Linked DNA regions of Arabidopsis thaliana. The protein of the gene in region 3 interacts with the protein of the main gene of each other region in a pairwise test. Each region holds a gene or a part of one and is shown on either strand. Other genes may lie near its edges.

Region 1 (5,833 bases), on a different chromosome or scaffold from region 3:
TGGTGTTCACGGAGCTGCAATGACACATTTACTTTTCTTGAAACCGAAAACAGTCTTTATACAGATTATACCAATAGGAACCGAATGGGCTGCTGAGACTTACTATGGTAAACCAGCTAAGAAGATGAGATTGAAGTACATTGGTTACAAGATTAAACCGAAAGAGAGCTCTTTGTACGATGAATATGGCATCGATGATCCCATTATCCGAGATCCTAAGAGTTTTACTCAAAAAGGATGGGATTACACTAAGAAGATTTATCTTGAGCGCCAAAACGTGAAGCTTGATTTGAAAAGATTTAGGAAACCGTTGTCTCGTGCTTATGATTTCTCGATGAAGCGAATTGGACTGGTGTATATCAGTCACAAACCGGATGTTACCAATTAAACCGGGGTTTGAGATTGTATAATATAATTTTGGAGATGTAAACATTTTGTACAGAGAATGCATAGACTTTCTTTTGTGTCGTACCTAATGACACAAATTTACAAGCTTTTGTTCTGTATAGAAATCACTAACCGGAGAATACCAACTAAACTGAGTTTTTTTCACACTTTTTCCACTGAGTTCATACCACATTCAACTGGGTCTAAGGGCCCAAATATTATTTGCTTTATAGGCCCAAAGTCCCAAACATGCTAATCTTTCATGATACCTCCTCCATACGTCTTTTTTACAATTTTGTGTGTTTTACAAAAAAAAATTTTGCTTAGTAATCTATTTGTTAAGATTTTTTCCGTTTCTATTTGATAAGAATATATTCGATATATTTTCAATTTATACTGTATAGAGTAGCTTGTTATAATTATCATCAAATTTCATTGTTTTTTTCATAAACAAATATGATTAAAATTGATCTAGAAGTCTGCACGAAGAAAAGTAAAATGGAAACAAATTGCAGATTTGCATGTAATTACGACAAGTGGCTCATTCTCTTTTTTAGCATGTTACAGAAGTGTCTGGTTAATGGGAAAAAAAAATATTGAACTTTCTTTTATTTTGTATATAAACCAACCTTATGTGAGTAATATCCCAAAGAGGTTTCTTTTAAAATATCTTTGGGTTTTTAATTCATTTATGGGAATTTCTATAACAAAATTTCACCACAAATAAATGTTGTTCCTTTCGTAGAAGAAAACAAAATCTTAAGAAATCACGTTATTTTCGTATTTGATGGTAGTTTATAAATTTCGAAAGATGATTCAACGCGATTCATACGAGATATTATTTTTTTGACAACAACAAAAGATAGTAAAGTGTTAAAAAAAAATGTGTAAAGTTTTATGGAGTATAATTTAAAGATTTATCTTGAATTGAGAATGTGTAAATCACATTGGTTAAAGTGGAACTAAATATTTTTTTAGTAAATTATTTGTTTTTCTCTAGCTTAGTTTTAATTTCAATTTTGGAAAAGGGAGAATATTGACCAAAAACAAAAAGAGCACGATTAAATGACCTAACACTACATTTAGAAACACGCATCTGAATTATTTACATTGCAAAACAAAAGTGTTGAGCTGTATAGCATGTATTTATATTTACTTAAATACTTTCCATATCTATAAAAAGATATTTGCTCACCAAAATTTCACAACCGAACTAATTTTATTTATTATTACTAATGTTTAGATAATTCCACAAATACAGTGTAATTCTCAAAATATAATTTCGGTTACAATAGAAAGTCTTCTCTAGAAAGAGATATTTTTCTTTTACTAAAAATACAACAAACTCAGTTTGGAGGGGAAAGTAATCTTCCTTGTGAGATTTTACTATCTATAGAAACGTTAAAGCCACACCTTTTGCTTTTCTTATCATATTCTTCTTCAAATACGGCCACGTTTGGCCATTCTACTAGATCTCAACCCAAAAAAAAGAAACAAAATCTCAACCAACAAGAAAACAAAGCTAAAGAGAAAAAAAAGAACACAGTAGTTGTTATTTCATAAATCTTTTAAAGATATGAAAATATCAGTTATTAAATAAAACAGTATCCAAAACAACTAAAAATAAAGACTATAATAAAATGAAATAGTTGATCAAATATTTCCTTATTATAGGGATCAACTTTATTTGACTATATAAAAAGTAACATTTCTGTAAAGCAATAAAACAATAAAATTATGGAAGATTAAGTTTTAGAAACGTAATAAAAAGCATGATGACCTAAAAGCAAAGCCAAAAAAGAAAAACCCTAGAAGATAAAAAAAAAGGGAGGCGATACACGAAATAGAGAAGAGATCCAAAACCAAAACAAGGGCGTTATAAATGGGAAGAAAGTTCCAAAAGAAGAAAACAGCCACTCACACCAAGCAAAGCAAATTAGCAAAGCCACCAAATATGGAAAATTGCTACTTATAGTAACTCCCATCTTTTTATATAATACCCTAATTTTGGTCCTAATTTTCCTTCCTTAGCCCCTTTCCCAATATTTGATCAATTTCTAAAGAAAACCCCTTCCTCTACTAGTCCTCCTCCTATATATACAAAATCTTAAGAAATCTCTCTACTTGTTTCCTCTGTTATCATAATCTCTTCTCTCTATATCTCTTCTCTTCTTCTTTTACCCTGTTTTTTTTTTCATTCCACAGAGCCCAGGTTGATTGATTTTGTTATTCAGAGATATGGGGAGAGGAAGGATTGAGATTAAGAAGATTGAGAATATCAACAGTCGTCAAGTCACTTTCTCTAAGAGACGAAACGGTTTGATCAAGAAGGCTAAAGAGCTTTCGATTCTCTGTGACGCCGAGGTTGCTCTTATCATCTTCTCCAGCACCGGCAAGATTTACGATTTCTCCAGCGTCTGGTATATTAGTTATCATCTCATGATTTTGCTTCTTTTTTTTTGCTTTGGGGAAATAAAAAGTTTTGCATTTTTATGGGTTTTTGTGTCTAAAGTAAATGAAAACAGAGCAACCCCTGTTTATCTATATCCTAATCTGGCTAAATCTTTAGGTTGATGATGAAATAATTTTGATGGGTTATGATTTTAAGGTTTGGAGAATTGAGATTACGATTTTTGCTATCGGATTAGTTTGTGTGTTTTATAAACCCTAACTGTTGATGAAACTACAATTTGGTCACTATCTTTGGTATCAGAATTTGGGAGATGCATTTGTCTATGTATATATCAGTTGTTAGAATCTCAACTCCAGAATTCTGAAAGATCGTTAATTTCTAAGATTATTAGACCATAGAAGTGTTTATCTTATCTTTATGAAGAAATTTGAGAATGCAGAAGTTTAGATTCATGATTTTTTCCTGTAATGATCAATCAAACCAATTACGGGGTTTTACTAACGGAGAGTTTTGTTCAATTTGTGAAGTATGGAGCAAATTCTTTCTAGATATGGATACACTACTGCGTCCACTGAGCATAAACAACAAAGAGAACACCAACTTCTAATTTGTGCTTCACATGGAAATGAAGCTGTGGTAAGCAGAGACTCTCTACCAAGAATTTATTTTTGTATCCCTTTGTCTGTGTTCAAGTTTTTGGTTTACCTTACATGGTATTCGTTGTTGTAGTTGCGAAATGATGATTCTATGAAGGGGGAACTTGAAAGATTACAGCTTGCAATTGAGTATGTATCTCACTGGAAAAAGAACTTGCGTTTGTTCTTGGTTAAAGTTTCGGCCTTTCATCGGTTTTTTCTACTTGTTCGTGAACAGGAGACTTAAGGGTAAGGAGCTTGAAGGTATGAGTTTCCCGGATCTTATTTCTCTTGAAAACCAGTTGAACGAGAGCTTGCATAGTGTCAAGGATCAAAAGGTGAAGACAAAATACTAATTTATTCAAACATCGAGAGATGATTTTTGATTCATCCCTGTCTTGAAAAGTTTTGTTTTGATTCAGACACAAATCCTGCTCAACCAGATTGAGAGATCCAGGATACAGGTACGAACAGAGCTCCTCAAATGTCAGAATCATTGTTATTATCAATTCGTATACAATGTTGAATCTCAACACTCTTGTTTTGTTTCCTTGTCATTAATAGGAGAAAAAAGCATTGGAAGAAAACCAAATCTTGCGCAAACAGGTAAAGATTCATCAAAACCCTTATATTAGCTCGGTCTGGTCTTCACCAGTCATAACTGAGTTCAATTCTAATTTGCCCTCAGGTTGAGATGTTGGGGAGAGGTTCAGGACCAAAAGTGTTGAATGAAAGGCCTCAAGATTCTAGCCCAGAAGCCGATCCCGAGAGCTCTTCATCAGAAGAGGATGAGAATGACAACGAGGAGCACCATTCCGACACTTCCTTGCAGTTGGGGTAAACTGCAAAACAAAGCCCTAACTTCTGTTACAAGCTTTTATTGTTACTGAGCATTCTACAAACTTGTTGGTTTGATCTTTCTTAGGTTGTCGTCGACGGGGTATTGCACAAAGAGAAAGAAGCCGAAGATCGAACTGGTCTGCGATAACTCTGGGAGTCAAGTGGCTTCTGATTGATGGAATCGATTATTTTTCTAATTCTGGTTGTTTAGGGGTCTCTATGTGTCTTCTTGTTTCTGGCTGTTCTTTTGCTTTATTTCATCTCAAGTAGAGTTTTCTTAATGTTTAGGTGGAACATTTTTCCATAATCAAGAAGGGATTTGATCAATCAATAACATTAGATTTTCTTAGTTAAAGACTTAAAGTTGCCCACACACCACACCATATGTGATTATGATGAATTTACATTTTATAAACAGGTTTTCAGTGATTTCAAGAAACATAAGCGTGCATTCATTTTTTTTTTGCTTTAACTAGAACCCAAATCTTCAATAGTTTTCATGAATCGACTTTGAAAATACATAAATCCACAACATTAATATGATTAAGCATTCTTGAAATCCTAAGTTAGGTGAACAGAGAGTTAAGAGTAAATGCTCCTAGACATGGTTTAGTCGATTGCAGATAATTCGGGTCAGCAAAGAAATGTGATCACTAAGCAAATCTGGGTTGCGTAAACTCGTTGACAATAAACGGAAGCGTCTTACCCCTTTTTTCCGGCCCACTTCTTTACTTGGGCCAAATAATTTTATTTTGGGCTTTTTTTAAAAGGATGATCTTAATTGTGTGTGGGCATTTAAGGGCACCGACAATTCAAAGGTAGCCGACGGCTTACAGAAATATGGCTGCTCAGATCATCAGAGACCCCATACAATAAATATTTATGTTTCGAGAAATAAATCACCAGATGGTTGACAAGTTGCGGCAGTAAGTACATGTTACTTTTCTTGTCAGAAAGTACAACAACAGTACTTTTTTTATAGTCGACACTAAAATTAAGACTCGTATTTAGTAATGCAGAAAAATCTTTACAAAAATATACTATATACTCCTGAGAAAAAGCAGCTGATTTGACTGAAATAAAGAAAATGTTAGTAGTCTAGTAATGATTTGTGAACTACAAACGTTGTTTAAGGCGTTTACAGTAATATTAACATTACGGAATACAAAAGGGTGATGACTAGTCGACAAATAAAAATGGTAATGAGTCTAAATGACGAAATAATTAAAGAAATGTGTGAAAGGAAGAGAATAATAAGCACAAGTCCCGGACCTGAAAACGGAAAGATCAGAAGAGCCACGTGTGCAGGAGCTTGAAGAGAAGGTTCCAAATGAGAAAGAGATCCACCACCGTCATCAACACACACACACACACTTTGTTTGTTCTCACGGAGTCCCCAACAAAAGTCAAATCACCGTTCATTGAGCCCCACTTTTATTTACTTACATGTTTAATAGACCCGTTTGTATTACGAGACACTTCTAGTCGCATGTCTCCACCGTCCGATCACGGATCCTAGCTGTAATCAAGGGGGCAGATTTAATGAAGTGGGCCTCTT
Region 2 (6,427 bases), on a different chromosome or scaffold from region 3:
CAATGTATATACACAAATACACACAACCGCGTATGTTAAAGTTTGAGGTTATCTGTATCTCGATCAAAATATGAATAGATAATAACAATGAAAAAACGACTTTTGATCCATGGAAACATCTCTACACAAAATGTATTCCCCCATCCATACAGAATGATAACCCATCCACATCTTCGTAGTCTTAACATCGTAACAACGAAAACATTATTTACTCAGCTTAGAAAGAAAAAATCGAGTTCTTGTGAAATTTATTCATACATGCAAAGTAATTAATGAAACGGCAAATATTGTCTATCTCAGCTGATTTCTTTATCGATGTTTTATAACTAGCATTTTTGTTCATCTAAAATTATCGGGCATTATAATATATTAGCAGTTTTAAAAATCATTTGGTTCAAAAAAACTTCAGAAAGGTTATAAGTTAAAGAAAATTGAATTCACTTATAACTTATACTCCATGAATTCACTTAAAAATTGAATTCACTTAAAAGTTGAATTCACTTATAACTTATATAAGTTAGGAGATTTGAAAATAAAATAATAGAATGTATAAACCCTATAGACTACAAAAGAACTATTTCGTAGATTGTAAGAGAACCCACAGGCCACAGTGTGATAGATTCAACGTCATAACTACAGAAGACATTAATTAGATTTGGGACCAAAAAGTCAATGATGCACCTGCAAAAACCACAAGGGGTCCGACCCATTGTTTCTTTACCATTCACCAGTAACACAAATTTTGTTTTATATATATTAACCTATTATTAAGGTTAATTACAACATAAAAAGTAGTAAATGACGAATCACAGATCTCAATGAGGCTTCCTCTGTTTCTGGGATCCTAATGACAAATCTGATGTGGGTCGGTGTCCAATCCGGTTCTTTCTCTTTTGCCACCATTCAAGGCCATGCCTCGCCATTGATTCGAACCTCCACTGCTACTTTTTTACTGGACTATAAAAACATTGAAGTAAAAATATGCAAAAGTAAAAAAAAAACATATGATCTTTTGTCATCATTATTATTTTCCCTGACAAGTAATGAAAGGAATTCAAATATATTTTTATGACGATAAAAAAAAAATCGGACTCAAAGAATAACCTGAGACCCAATAGGTTGTTGGTAAAAACCTGATGTCTGAACAAGTCTGGGTAAGGTCAGAAGAAAAATAACAATGTTACTTTTTTTTGTGTGCACCTTTCTAACAATGTTACTAATTAATTAGTGTATCGTACTTAATAATGGTCTTGCTTCTCGTTTATGCTTTAACTAGCTAAATAACATATGGTCCAGTCAATCTTGGTTACCATTTTGACATCTCAATTTGCTTAGTGTTTGATTTTCTTGCTTTTAGTTAATCATCTTGATCTCCACAAAAAAATGGACACGCTGTTCTATGTACATAATGGAGCAGGTAGTTTTACTGTTTTATGTATCTTTGATCTACCATGAAAACAAGCATTTTTCTATAACTACAGAAACATATGAAGCAACTAAAAAGTAACATGAATACAAATAAACCCGACATGCACGAGCAGACTCTAGAGTGTAGACTCAAATTTTACATCCCCGTCAACCAGAAAAATAGTAAGTATTTAGAATTATTTAATACGAAAGCGAAATGTAGGTCCAATTAAATTCTCCAAGTAAGAAAAAAGCCGAACAATATATGACGATACCAAACCCTAAAACTGTGCAATAACACCTATTTTGTAGAAAACTACATTACGTACTCTGCTATAAAACTACATATCTATAATGGAACTTTTCAACCATTTTCTTTTTTTCATTTGAGAATCCTTTGTGAGTAACATAATTGTATATATACTTGCCTGACCATTTCAATTGGCATCATATTGCTGCCTTATTTCGTATGGGTTATGGGTACCCCCTAAGGCTTAACTTGTGACTATAGAGCCAACAAGGTCACGTGAGAATATATGCAGAAAAATTCACTGTAAAAAACACTATATATTTTACTACTTATTTTTCTTTTGATTATTACGAATATCCGGATTTTTTGGTAGAATGAAAATATTTCTAGCAAATAATTTGCAAATCCCATAATTTTAGGAATTGAATTGAAGTATGGCCAGACGAGGTTGTTGAGAGGAGTAAACACGCCCATTCAATTGTCAATGGGTGAGAGAGGTCGGTCAAGTGTGATGGGTAGTAGTACTATGGGCCCTATCTTTTACCATGCGGCCCATAAACGATGGCCCACTCTAGATTATTTTCAAAGAATATTAGTCCCCATGCTCCCTTATCCAGAAATCAACAACAATCACAGTACTTATAAGAGCGTTGACAAATACAAATAGTAAGAAACATATATTTTATGAAACTGAAATTGCAATGGTTTCAAACTCTTTCATTTCTCTTTTAAAATATTAGATTTTCATATGATTGAAAGAAATCGTACGTCAGCATTAATAATATTGAAAACATATCACATGGTTATAACTTCCTGGTTAGTATTTTCTTATAAAAGAAAAATTAGAAAGTCATCAAAAATAGTAGTAGTATTCGCAAGCAACTCTCGACGGTCCAACCAAAAATTAGCAACCACGTGAACCAATTTGACAAAAATAATTTATTTACGCTCTTCACGAACCAACCAGACATATTGATCATCATCCAACGGTCAGTAACATCGTTCATTGCAACACGCTAACGCAGCTGATTACACCCTAATTCCGACAAAAGTACCACTTACCCGAACCAAATTACGTTTAAACGACATCGTTTACGCCGTAAATCTTCTGATGCACACTAGTTCGAAGGATCCTTTAATGGGAGAGAGAATGTTCTACTTCTTCTTCTTCTTCTTCTTCTTCTTCTTCCTCCTCTCTCGTCGGATCTCTCTGATTTAGTGATTTTTCAAATTTCAAGTTTTCTTCACCTTTAATTTTGTGTCTCGTTGATCTCTCTTTGGACATTCTGCTTTGGATTCTGGAGGCTTCTCATTAGATCTCTGTAAGTGCGTGAAAACTCAAAAGATCCTATCTTTTTACTTATTTTAGGGTTTTCGTTTTGAATTAAGGCTAAGATAAAGCGTGTGATTGTTTTAGGGTTGTGTATCTCCTTAGTTGAGGAAACTGATAGCTAAGACGAAACCCTAATCTGTTCTAATATGGAATATAATCGCTGAGATAAAGCGTGTGATTGTTTCAAATGAATTTGATAGCTAAAGATGAAACCCTAATCTGTTCTAGTATGGAATATAATCTATCTTTTTTCGGGAATAAATGGTATGCAGATTAGTGGGTTTAGGTCAAGTTCTTGAAATGGATAAGGAGAAATCTCCTGCACCACCACCTAGTGGAGGTCTTCCTCCACCATCGGGTCGTTACTCTGCGTTTTCACCTAATGGAAGTAGCTTTGCAATGAAAGCTGAATCATCTTTTCCTCCTTTGACTCCAAGTGGAAGCAATAGCTCAGATGCTAACCGATTCAGCCATGATATTAGCCGAATGCCGGATAATCCACCTAAGAACCTAGGCCATCGCCGAGCTCATTCAGAGATTCTTACTCTTCCTGATGACTTAAGCTTTGATAGTGATCTTGGTGTGGTTGGTGCTGCTGATGGACCTTCTTTCTCTGATGATACTGACGAGGACTTACTCTATATGTATCTTGATATGGAAAAATTCAATTCTTCTGCTACATCGACTTCTCAAATGGGTGAGCCATCAGAACCGACTTGGAGGAATGAATTAGCCTCGACTTCTAACCTTCAGAGTACACCCGGTAGCTCTAGTGAAAGACCGAGAATTAGACACCAACACAGCCAATCGATGGATGGTTCAACAACTATCAAGCCTGAGATGCTTATGTCAGGGAATGAAGATGTGTCTGGAGTTGACTCTAAGAAAGCCATCTCTGCTGCTAAACTTTCTGAGCTTGCTCTCATTGATCCAAAACGCGCCAAGAGGTATTTTTTTCTTTTCTGAACAGTTTTCCTTCTATGTTTTTAAGAAGTTGTATAGTTTTTGGTGAAACATTATCTAGGGTTGTTGACTAAAAAGAATAAAGCTTGGCTGAACTGATCTGTTGGAGTTTTACATAACCCTTCATCTAGAAGTAGCTCACTCGTAAATTACGGTAACTAGTAATGAATTTGTATAAGATGCGTGACATGTTGTATCATTTGATAGGATATGGGCAAACAGGCAGTCTGCTGCGAGGTCAAAAGAAAGGAAGATGAGATACATTGCAGAGCTCGAGAGAAAAGTACAGACTTTACAAACAGAGGCCACATCTCTCTCAGCCCAGTTGACTCTCTTACAGGTTTGGAGACCAAATTTAACTCTAGACTAAGATATTTGTAAGTTTATGGTTGTAATCTTGTTCTCTTTTCATCCTTGTGTTCAGAGAGATACAAATGGCCTGGGTGTTGAAAACAATGAGCTTAAACTGCGAGTACAAACTATGGAGCAACAGGTCCACCTACAGGATGGTGAGGATCTTTTCTCACATACTTCCTAGGAGCTGATATTTCTTCATCTCTTTACTATCAATGCAAATAAACATTGTCAATGACTGTCGAAGGTGTAGTATATATGACATACCACATTCTGGATCTGTCAGTGTAAGATTGTATGCCATGTTTGTGGTCATACAAAGCTTAAAATACAGATCCAGAATCTTGAATAACACATAAACATACACCTTCAAAACTCAATGCCATTTCTCTGGTTAAGAAAGTCTATAAATATTTGTCCCCCGTCGAGATATTCGCTGCACTTTGTTGTGAATGCTGCTACTTGATTTAATCGTCTTTATCTGTTTGACAGCTTTAAATGATGCACTAAAGGAGGAAGTCCAGCATCTTAAGGTATTGACGGGGCAAGGTCCATCAAATGGTACATCAATGAACTACGGTTCTTTTGGATCAAACCAGCAATTCTATCCCAATAATCAGTCGATGCACACTATCTTAGCCGCACAACAGTTACAGCAGCTCCAGATCCAGTCACAGAAACAGCAACAACAACAACAGCAACACCAGCAACAACAACAGCAGCAGCAGCAGCAATTTCACTTTCAACAGCAGCAACTGTACCAGCTTCAGCAGCAGCAACGGCTTCAACAACAGGAACAACAAAGCGGGGCTTCAGAGCTAAGAAGACCCATGCCTTCTCCTGGTCAGAAAGAGAGTGTGACATCGCCTGATCGTGAAACTCCCTTGACAAAAGACTGAGTCTAGACTGTGCTAATGTCCAATTTAGTAAGTTACTCTTGGAAAATCTTCTTTTTCATCGCAGGCTCATGGATTTGGGATTTACTGCATTATAGAGTTAAAAACAAGACAGCTTAGAAGTTGCGGATTTAGAAGTTGTTAGTGAAGCTTTTGTTCTCGTCTGTTGGTAGTTTACAATCTTCTCTTTGTATGATCCTAAGCTCTTAAAAAGTTCTTGGATTTGGTCATTTGGTTAGAAATGGGTCCTTAGTCCAAGTCTGTAGTCGTTTAACCATATTCATATTCTTTGCCTTTTGTTCATTTTGGTTACTTGAAAAGTCTCATTTGGTCTTGAATTGTGATGTCTAAAAATAAAACCTTGAATTTGCAAGTATTCTATCAAAACATAAACGATAGTTACAAAGAGAAATGTGTATTCCAAAGATATGGATTACAGATTTATCGACTAAACTCACACAAAGTTGATGAAACAATCTTCTGGTAGAGAACTGAACCAAACCAAACCAAACCAAGCCGAAACTGTCCTTCACAATATTGATCTCCTGTAACAGCAAACTGAAACCCCGCCTGTGGCCATGGAAGACTAACCTTGCAAACTTTAGAGAGGAGCAAGGTCTTTTTGTATTTACATGACAATGCTTAGCATATCCTCCTCCTAGCAAACTTTGGAGTAGTCCTGCGATCTTAGCCTTTGAGAGAATCCTTCAGAGAGAATGGAGGAAACGCATCCTATCATAAGACATGAAATAGCGTTTAAACACAGGCACCTACTATTCCCAGGGCTTCTACAACGAATCAGATATATGAGTAAAAATACTGAAATACTACGATTACTTTGCCATTCTCCTCAGTCAAGTATTGTCTCACAACTGTCACCTGTTGTATGATCCTTTCCATTGGTGTGTAGCTCGGGTGGTTTGTGTGTTCTACATAATTTGAAGAATGAGTTAAAACTTGTAATTTGCTAAGGTCACAGGACGGTAGAGATTTTCGTGGAGGTAAAAATAAAAAAGAACTGACCAAGAATTGTGCGGTTCAGATTATCAGCAACTTGTTGGCGGTATTCAGAGCTCAAAAGATGGAACATTGGGGATTTCTCAGGGTCTTCATAAGCGAGCAATGCCATTACGTCCTGTCTCAGGAAAAAACAAATCTACCATCATTTGGAAGAACATAACAAGTAATCTACCAATACATCAAGACGAATATAATGGAGGATCA
Region 3 (3,848 bases):
TAGAAAAGGTTTGGTTCCAACACACAGATATAGGGAAAAGAAGACTTGGTTTGATGGAAAAGTTGAACATAGGAGAAAGACAAGAATTTTAACTGGTCATGAAGTTTATCAAAATCTGAAAAACTTCAAGAATGATTTTGGAAATGTGAAAAAATCTGGGATGAAGAGAAAGAGAACTGTCTATAAAGAACCAGTCTATGATAGTGATGATGTATCCAGTGAATCCGAGGAAGATGAGGAAGTAGAAGTAGATGAGGATGAGTTATCTAGATGGAAGAAAAGATCAATCTTCTTTACTTTGCCTTATTGGGAGGTATGATTACTTGTTTTCAGATTTAAATAGCTTTTATATGTTTAAGTATGATACATCAATTACTTCTAAAATATATGTATGTCTATATTGTAGGATCTACTAGTAAGGCATAATTTGGATGTAATGCATACAGAAAAGAACGTGGCTCACAGTATTGTATCCACATTGTTGCATTGTGGAAAATCTAAGGATGGTCTTAATGCACGTAAGGATCTGCAACATCTTGGTCTACGACACGCTTTGCATCCTACCACACAAGGAAAGAGAACATATGCACTTAGCTCCTGTATTGCTTTATTTTGTGCTTGAGACTTTTCTTATGTATTTTGGATCTAAACTTATGTTTAATCAATGGTCAATGTATGAGATTTTATAAAGCAGGTTATGTGTTATGTGTACTATAATCACATCTCAGAAAATGCTATAAGAATACAGGTAATAGAATATTTAACATATGACTAATGCTATGTTTTAATCATCTATCGTAGCTTATAAATTGATATAAGAACATAACATAGCACATAATTTGACTAATTATTTTCCAATTGAAAAAAGGCAAACCACGATAAAACAACATTTCGCAACAGCTATATTAGAGATATATAACATAGCACGAAAAATCAAATATTATATAATTTTTTTAAGAAAATTAAACGTGATAATACAACTGTTCTTTATAGCTATGTTATTAAACTATAACATAGCATACTGAACTCACGCTACTGTATGTGAGGTACCTATAATAACAATGCCCTAAAATAGCGTTCATGAAAAAGTTATTAAAGACATATTATAGCATTTTTCTCGTGATAAGAATGTCCATTGTAGTGTAAAAGACATAAAAAATAACATAATACACATAAAGACACTAAGACTTCTAAAATTCAAAAGACTCACTTGGACACTAAATGCAACAAAACTCACAACGAAAAATACTATGACAAAAATCATATCTTTTATATATTCAAATTCATTATTATATTTTCCAAAATATTGAAACAAACGAGATCCTATGTAGAATGGGATAACGCAACAAACATCAAATTACGTTTTTTAACCATAATTAATATTCATAAATACTTCTTAATCATTAATACAAATATTTTTATTAATATCATAATTAAACATAATATATCATGTTTTCGGTTAATCCTCTAAATTTGCTATGATTAGTTTCTATGAATTGATGAATTTCTCTGCGTATCAACATGTCTCACTCTCTAGATATCAACGATTTTAACATTGGATGAATTATTGTCAAATTTATTAATTCGATTGCAAAATTACATTGAAATATGATATAATAAATTAAATATATAAAATTACAAAATAAACTTATTAAATAAAATATATTATAATTATAATTTATGATATAAATTAACAAACTAAAATTTCTACACATATTTCTCCACGATGTAGAGTGTGGGTTCTTATTTAATGATCACTTATAAAGGAAAACGAATGAGGGACAAGTCAGTACTTAATTACTTTAGTTAGTTATATTTTAAACAATAGACATGTCGAATCTTTTAAGTTAAATGCATATAATGGATCGAACTTGGCGCTCAAACGTATCCAATCTTTTAATTAAAGTTTAGCCGCATCACTCTCTCTCTCTCTCTATAAGTTCATTCTAGGGAAGGGAAGCATCCAAACTTGGTTGCGACAAGACAAATGCTAAGGATAGATTTAAACTAAAAGATATGAAAATTTTGTATTAAACATTGTATTTTTTTTTACTGCGTATTAAACATTGTATAAATATTTTTTTTTAATATAATTTACCATAAATTAAAATAAAAAAGGGTTTACGTGTATAAATCTAGGTTACAAAAATAAACAACTCAAGTTAACTATTATTGGGTTTAAATTATATAAAAAAACCAAAATTTTAAAAACCTTCTCGCAGTTTCTGCTCTCACTTCCAATGAACAAGTTATATATAAAACACTAACAATATTTTTGTTATGACTAAACTCTTTCCATTTCTTTGTCCATGTTCCACCACTATAAATTACGAATTATAGCATCGCATTTTTTCTTCTTATTCTATGCTCTTATAATCCATAGGACCCACTTCTACATGATTCTCCTACAACCCCATTATAAAACCCTTGGTCCACTTCCTCCTCTTACTTCAAAACTAACTTCCCAATTCTTCACACAAAATAAAAACACAGAAACTCTTACATACTCATATAAACCAAACTAAAACCATGATTCCGGCAGAAATCAACGGATATTTCCAATATCTATCACCGGAATACAACGTAATAAACATGCCTTCATCTCCAACCTCTTCCTTAAACTACCTAAACGATTTGATCATCAACAACAACAACTATTCCTCATCATCCAACAGTCAAGATCTCATGATAAGCAACAACTCAACTTCCGACGAAGATCATCATCAAAGCATCATGGTACTCGACGAGAGGAAACAGAGAAGGATGCTTTCGAACAGAGAATCTGCAAGGAGGTCAAGGATGAGGAAACAGAGACATCTTGATGAACTCTGGTCTCAGGTAATAAGGCTTCGCAACGAGAACAACTGTCTTATCGATAAGCTGAACCGCGTATCGGAGACTCAAAATTGTGTATTGAAGGAGAACTCTAAACTCAAAGAAGAAGCTTCTGATCTCCGACAGCTTGTTTGTGAACTGAAATCTAACAAGAACAACAACAATAGTTTTCCAAGAGAGTTTGAAGATAATTAGTATTACTCAAAGTGTCCAACTTTATCAGACAAAACGTAATCTATTAACACAATCAAAAGCAGAAAATTTTGGTTTTTATACCTTGGAGAGTGTTCTGTTCTATACAGTGACTTTGAATCCGTTCTTCAATATATTCATTGACATGGACTTTCCCATGATTCCCAAACCCATAGAAAACCCTACTTCCATTTTATCTATCTTCTGCGATTATAGACTTATAGTGCTTACTGCTTAGTGATAATGGTCTAAAATAATGAGACATTTCTAATCAGGGAGCCATTATCATCAAATACTTACTTGAAAAGGAAGTATTTACAGTTTACTCCCTAAACTTTGATTCTTTTTGCATCTCTAACTGGCAGTTTAAGAACGAACAAGATTTCGCCACGTGATTGAAATTTGGCTAAAACTCCAGTGTCATTTGGAATCTTATTTTACTCCAGTCGGGCACGTTAGAAGTTCTCAATCAAATTTATTTGCGGAGTACTAATCTGAATTTACAAAATATTATTCATTTTATCTGATAGTTTATGAAATGTCAATTTAGTCCATGCTTCTAATCTATTGACAATTTTTTTTCCTTCTTCTATATATATATTTTTTTTTTTTGGTTCTGGGCCGAAATCCGTAATATTAGTTTTGCCTAGAGTCTTTACCAATTAAGCTAACGACACTTAACTCTTTCTTTCTTCTATTCTTGTGCTTCTACAATGGGAAGATCAACGTAAACATATTATTACTAAAGTTTACATACGATAGTAAACATAACTATAATGGGAAGTGCAAGTGTTTTTAATTTTATTTGTAGGTATAAAAAT
Region 4 (4,555 bases), on a different chromosome or scaffold from region 3:
CCTCTATATCGTATCAAAGGTCTCTCCCAATTGATATTTTTGTTATTTCTTAGATAGAATTGATATCATGACTCAAGTTTTAATTTTTTCATTCACTCGAAAAAAAAATTGATTTGAGTCCAGAAATTCTTTTGTTTCAAATCCAAATGGATTTTCCGAACGACAGAAAATGTTGCCGATTATACATAAATAATTTAAGAAAATCATGTAAATACATTAAATTTTTTTAACTGATATGACTATAAAATCATAAAAATGACTAGAAAATATACAAATAATATGACCACGTACCATGAATGTGTAGCTATCGCCTTACGCCTAACACCTTAGTCAAATTTGAATGCTTACTGGACTTTGTTTTCTTTCTTTTTTGATTTGACTATAAATAATCTTTTTATATTTGCCTATTTCCATATAAAAATTTGAATCACTAAGAATTGAAATTCTGGAGCTTCCACTGACCGAAGGGAAAATATTGAGGAATATAAATCATTTTAGAAAACTTGTTTATTTTTATATGAAGTATTAGTAATTATTCGAATAATTATATTATTATTTTTTGTGTCAATTTATGGAAATCATTTAGCAACTGATATCAAAAGCAATTATTCTTGGGTTACTTTTCTGATGTCAATATTGAAATCAATTAATTTATTCATTTTCGGTACGTGTAAGAAGTTTAAAGTATTTTACCACAAAAAAATGAAGTTTAAAGTAAAGCCAAAAGAGATACAATGTCCAGGTTTGAAGTTTAAAATAGAGCCAAAAACTTTGAACACGTGCGGGATATCAAATAATCAGTTATGCATAGTTTTGGATGGGCTTAAGAAAGAATAAATAATTTTGTGTCCTACTGGACTCAGGATGCATGTGATGATGTGTAGTGTTCTAATAGAATTTAGTTGCGTATCCGTTCGAATAATTATTTTCAACACCTCCTACTTTTGTTACATTGTTTTAAATGACTATTGACAAAATAAAAGTAAATGTAAATAACTAAAACAGAAAAGATGTGAGAAAAACTAGGAAATTCTTTTTTTTGAAGAATTATTAAATTTGCTAGATTTGGATAATCGATTCAACATTTGGAAAAGAAAAAAAATATCTAAGGATGGTTGAAAGATAGTTTATGATCAAACTAGCCAGGATTTTAGAGGGGTCATCAGTTTTCTGAACATTTATATGTTGTTTTCCGATAATACTATAAATTTGATCAACTAATTAGATGACTTAAAATAATGTAATTGGGATAATGTTTAAGAAAATATTAGGTAACTCATATAATTTAAGAGTTATAATTTGGTTATAATTTGCACCAAATTTGAAATATATTTCTACTATAAGATAACTAGAAATAGTGAAGAAAAAAACAAAGGAAACTAGAAAAAATGAAAAAATGGCACATGAAGTATCTTTTTTGTTTGAGAAAGAAGTTGAAAGCAGATAAAGCCAAATTATCTTCTAAACATGAGATGGCTCGAAATTATTTGTTGTTTGGGATTCAAGGGGGCATGTATCTTGAATCCTTCCAACCAACAATTTTCTTTAACCATGCTTTTGGCCAAAAGATTTTCTTTAATAATAATTAATAATAGCTTCCTAAGATTATAGGATAATGATTTGATATTTTATGTAATCATATTTGCAATACCTAAGCATGAAAATGTTTTGTTGAGTTGATCCAGCAGTTATTTTGGAATATGGCTTAATCATTTTCACATCGATCTTGTTATTTCTGTTCGTGAAATGTGAACTTTCGCAGTTATTTGTTTTATTCATAAGTTGTTTTAGATCAAATAAGTGGAGTCCACTTAGAAATTATAAGATGGGAATTTTATTTGCATATCAAAATTATCTATAAAAATTTTAGTCAACTGATTTTTAGTTTTCTACTAAAATCGCCATCTTATTTTCTTCTAGATTCAATTTGATCTGAATGTGGCATGTAGGTTGATAAAACTTATCAAATAGCATCAAATCAGTATTTTCTAAAACTTTTTACATCATCATAAATCTTTCACTTATAAAATATAATATCTTGGGTACACCAAAGTAATCCTGATATATACTACAAAATATAACATTTTAGTTGTTTTCATATGTGGTTAATCTTTTTTAGGTCGTACATGATTCATAAACCTTACCGTCATAAAAAGAAAAATAAATTATATTTAAACTAAGAAATGTGATATGATGCAAAAGTGACAAAATTTCGATGAATCATGTGATGATAATACGAAATGATATACCTAACCTACACTGCTCATTCTACATTTGAAGAATATATACCTAAATATACATACCAATTCTGGGATAATTACATAATATACAGTTTCATATTAGTCTCACGTAATTACGATTCACGACAGTAAGAAGATTAGTTTAAACGGTACAAAACAATTCATATATTACGAAAACATTAAATATCACACGAAGAGAAGAAATATGCAAAACGTCTTTGCTCGAATCTTCGACGAAGCAACATAGTTTTTCATTTGAGTGTAACATTATTTTTCGTAAATTCCCATTTCACCCTTTTATTACATGACATTTGTCTTTCACTGAGACAGTAAAAACTCAAGTCTAATTTGGACATTTGCATATACATACTCATTTTTTTCTCTATATATATAGACCATGTCAATCCACTAACGATCCCTAACCGAAAACAGAGTAGTCAAGAAACAGAGTATTTTTTCTACATGGATCCATTTTTAATTCAGTCCCCATTCTCCGGCTTCTCACCGGAATATTCTATCGGATCTTCTCCAGATTCTTTCTCATCCTCTTCTTCTAACAATTACTCTCTTCCCTTCAACGAGAACGACTCAGAGGAAATGTTTCTCTACGGTCTAATCGAGCAGTCCACGCAACAAACCTATATTGACTCGGATAGTCAAGACCTTCCGATCAAATCCGTAAGCTCAAGAAAGTCAGAGAAGTCTTACAGAGGCGTAAGACGACGGCCATGGGGGAAATTCGCGGCGGAGATAAGAGATTCGACTAGAAACGGTATTAGGGTTTGGCTCGGGACGTTCGAAAGCGCGGAAGAGGCGGCTTTAGCCTACGATCAAGCTGCTTTCTCGATGAGAGGGTCCTCGGCGATTCTCAATTTTTCGGCGGAGAGAGTTCAAGAGTCGCTTTCGGAGATTAAATATACCTACGAGGATGGTTGTTCTCCGGTTGTGGCGTTGAAGAGGAAACACTCGATGAGACGGAGAATGACCAATAAGAAGACGAAAGATAGTGACTTTGATCACCGCTCCGTGAAGTTAGATAATGTAGTTGTCTTTGAGGATTTGGGAGAACAGTACCTTGAGGAGCTTTTGGGGTCTTCTGAAAATAGTGGGACTTGGTGAAAGATTAGGATTTGTATTAGGGACCTTAAGTTTGAAGTGGTTGATTAATTTTAACCCTAATATGTTTTTTGTTTGCTTAAATATTTGATTCTATTGAGAAACATCGAAAACAGTTTGTATGTATTTTTGTGATACTTGACTTTATCAATTTCAAGTTAGTGTAAAAGTCTTTGTCTCTTACTATTCAACTAGTAAGAAAACTCTCATTTTTCTTATTTATCGTAATGAGGATTGTCTTTAAGCATGTGCTATTAGAGTATTCAAACATGTTTTAAGTTAACATAATAATTTTTTTGCACAAAGCCTACAAATAGTGTAAGATGGTCATAATCAATTGCTCATAACAATATACAAAGACAGTTCTTTTTATTGTTCTGTAATATATGAGTCCATGAGTATTGAGGAGCGACTCTATATAGTAGTATAATTTATTTTTGTTAATCATTAATTAGGAGCCACCTAAATGGCTAACTATAATAATGGAGTATAAGTTAAAGTGTTTTAATTTTGTTTCAAATAGACCACAACTGAAAAAGATGGTCAGGTAGTGTAATGAAAATCTTGACTTCTTTCGGATTAGGTGGCAACTTCTAGAATTTTTGTGCTATTTTACATATATTTTTAATTCATGATTTAAAGTAGCTATGGATTTTCTTGTGACTTTCTAAGGGAATTATCTAAGAATAATTGAATAAAAAAGATTTAAATATGCAGAAACTTGAACTTTTTTTTTGCAATGAGATGCATCTGTAACTAGAACTTTTGTCCGATAAAACGTTTTAGGTAAAAAAAGTAGTCACATAATCACATTATTGTTTTGGTAGTTGAGGTCACCAGAACGATCTGTCATAACTTTTGGGTTTGCTTGCGTATGGGTCATGACCAAGTGCATTGTAATCAAAATTTAGCCGGTAAATAGTATTATGGTAATGACATATTAAATCAACTCATAGATTTCTTTATAATATTTTAACCTGTAAAATCTAATCTTAATATTCAATTATTCACTAAAGACAAACCTGTAAACTTTTGAATGAACTAATGTTAATTTTGATTTTTTTTTTATCTGATGATTTGGAATAATAATTAACAATCCTATCAATATTCCCCATCTCTAGTAATAGGAAATAGTATAACAATTACTGATTATAGAAAAATTCTATAAAATGCCACACATTCAAATTTTGTTGTAAGAA

Evidence for each region.
Region 1: the proteins of bZIP48 (region 3) and AGL18 interact in a two-hybrid assay, tested with the Arabidopsis thaliana proteins (one large-scale study listed by BioGRID).
Region 2: the proteins of bZIP48 (region 3) and AT1G06070 interact in a two-hybrid assay, tested with the Arabidopsis thaliana proteins (one large-scale study listed by BioGRID).
Region 4: the proteins of bZIP48 (region 3) and ERF1 interact in a two-hybrid assay, tested with the Arabidopsis thaliana proteins (one large-scale study listed by BioGRID).

The regions. Positions count from the first base shown.
Region 1 is NC_003074.8:21,231,285-21,237,117, forward strand, and holds AGL18 (AGAMOUS-like 18), read left to right. Parts: upstream 1-2,187; 5' UTR 2,188-2,625; coding exon 2,626-2,807; exon of another isoform or gene 2,808-3,327; coding exon 3,328-3,436; intron 3,437-3,529; coding exon 3,530-3,585; intron 3,586-3,673; coding exon 3,674-3,773; intron 3,774-3,857; coding exon 3,858-3,899; intron 3,900-3,999; coding exon 4,000-4,041; intron 4,042-4,123; coding exon 4,124-4,272; coding exon of another isoform or gene 4,273-4,276; exon of another isoform or gene 4,277-4,360; coding exon 4,361-4,451; 3' UTR 4,452-4,694; downstream 4,695-5,833. Other genes in the region: AT3G57380 (Glycosyltransferase family 61 protein), read left to right, coding at 1-388. UniProt on the Arabidopsis thaliana protein: Probable transcription factor involved in the negative regulation of flowering, probably through the photoperiodic pathway. Prevents premature flowering. Downstream regulator of a subset of the MIKC* MADS-controlled genes required during pollen maturation.
Region 2 is NC_003070.9:1,833,980-1,840,406, reverse strand, and holds AT1G06070 (Basic-leucine zipper (bZIP) transcription factor family protein), read left to right. Parts: upstream 1-2,648; 5' UTR 2,649-2,979; intron 2,980-3,262; 5' UTR 3,263-3,290; coding exon 3,291-3,937; intron 3,938-4,160; coding exon 4,161-4,293; intron 4,294-4,377; coding exon 4,378-4,462; intron 4,463-4,799; coding exon 4,800-5,206; 3' UTR 5,207-5,578; downstream 5,579-6,427. Other genes in the region: AT1G06060 (LisH and RanBPM domains containing protein), read right to left, coding at 5,891-5,935, 6,041-6,132, 6,227-6,338.
Region 3 is NC_003071.7:1,329,390-1,333,237, forward strand, and holds bZIP48 (basic leucine-zipper 48), read left to right. Parts: upstream 1-2,529; coding exon 2,530-3,030; downstream 3,031-3,848. Other genes in the region: AT2G04137 (phosphogluconate dehydrogenase (decarboxylating), NAD-binding domain protein), read right to left, coding at 2,794-2,973, 3,136-3,219.
Region 4 is NC_003074.8:8,293,003-8,297,557, forward strand, and holds ERF1 (ethylene response factor 1), read left to right. Parts: upstream 1-2,614; 5' UTR 2,615-2,702; coding exon 2,703-3,359; 3' UTR 3,360-3,602; downstream 3,603-4,555.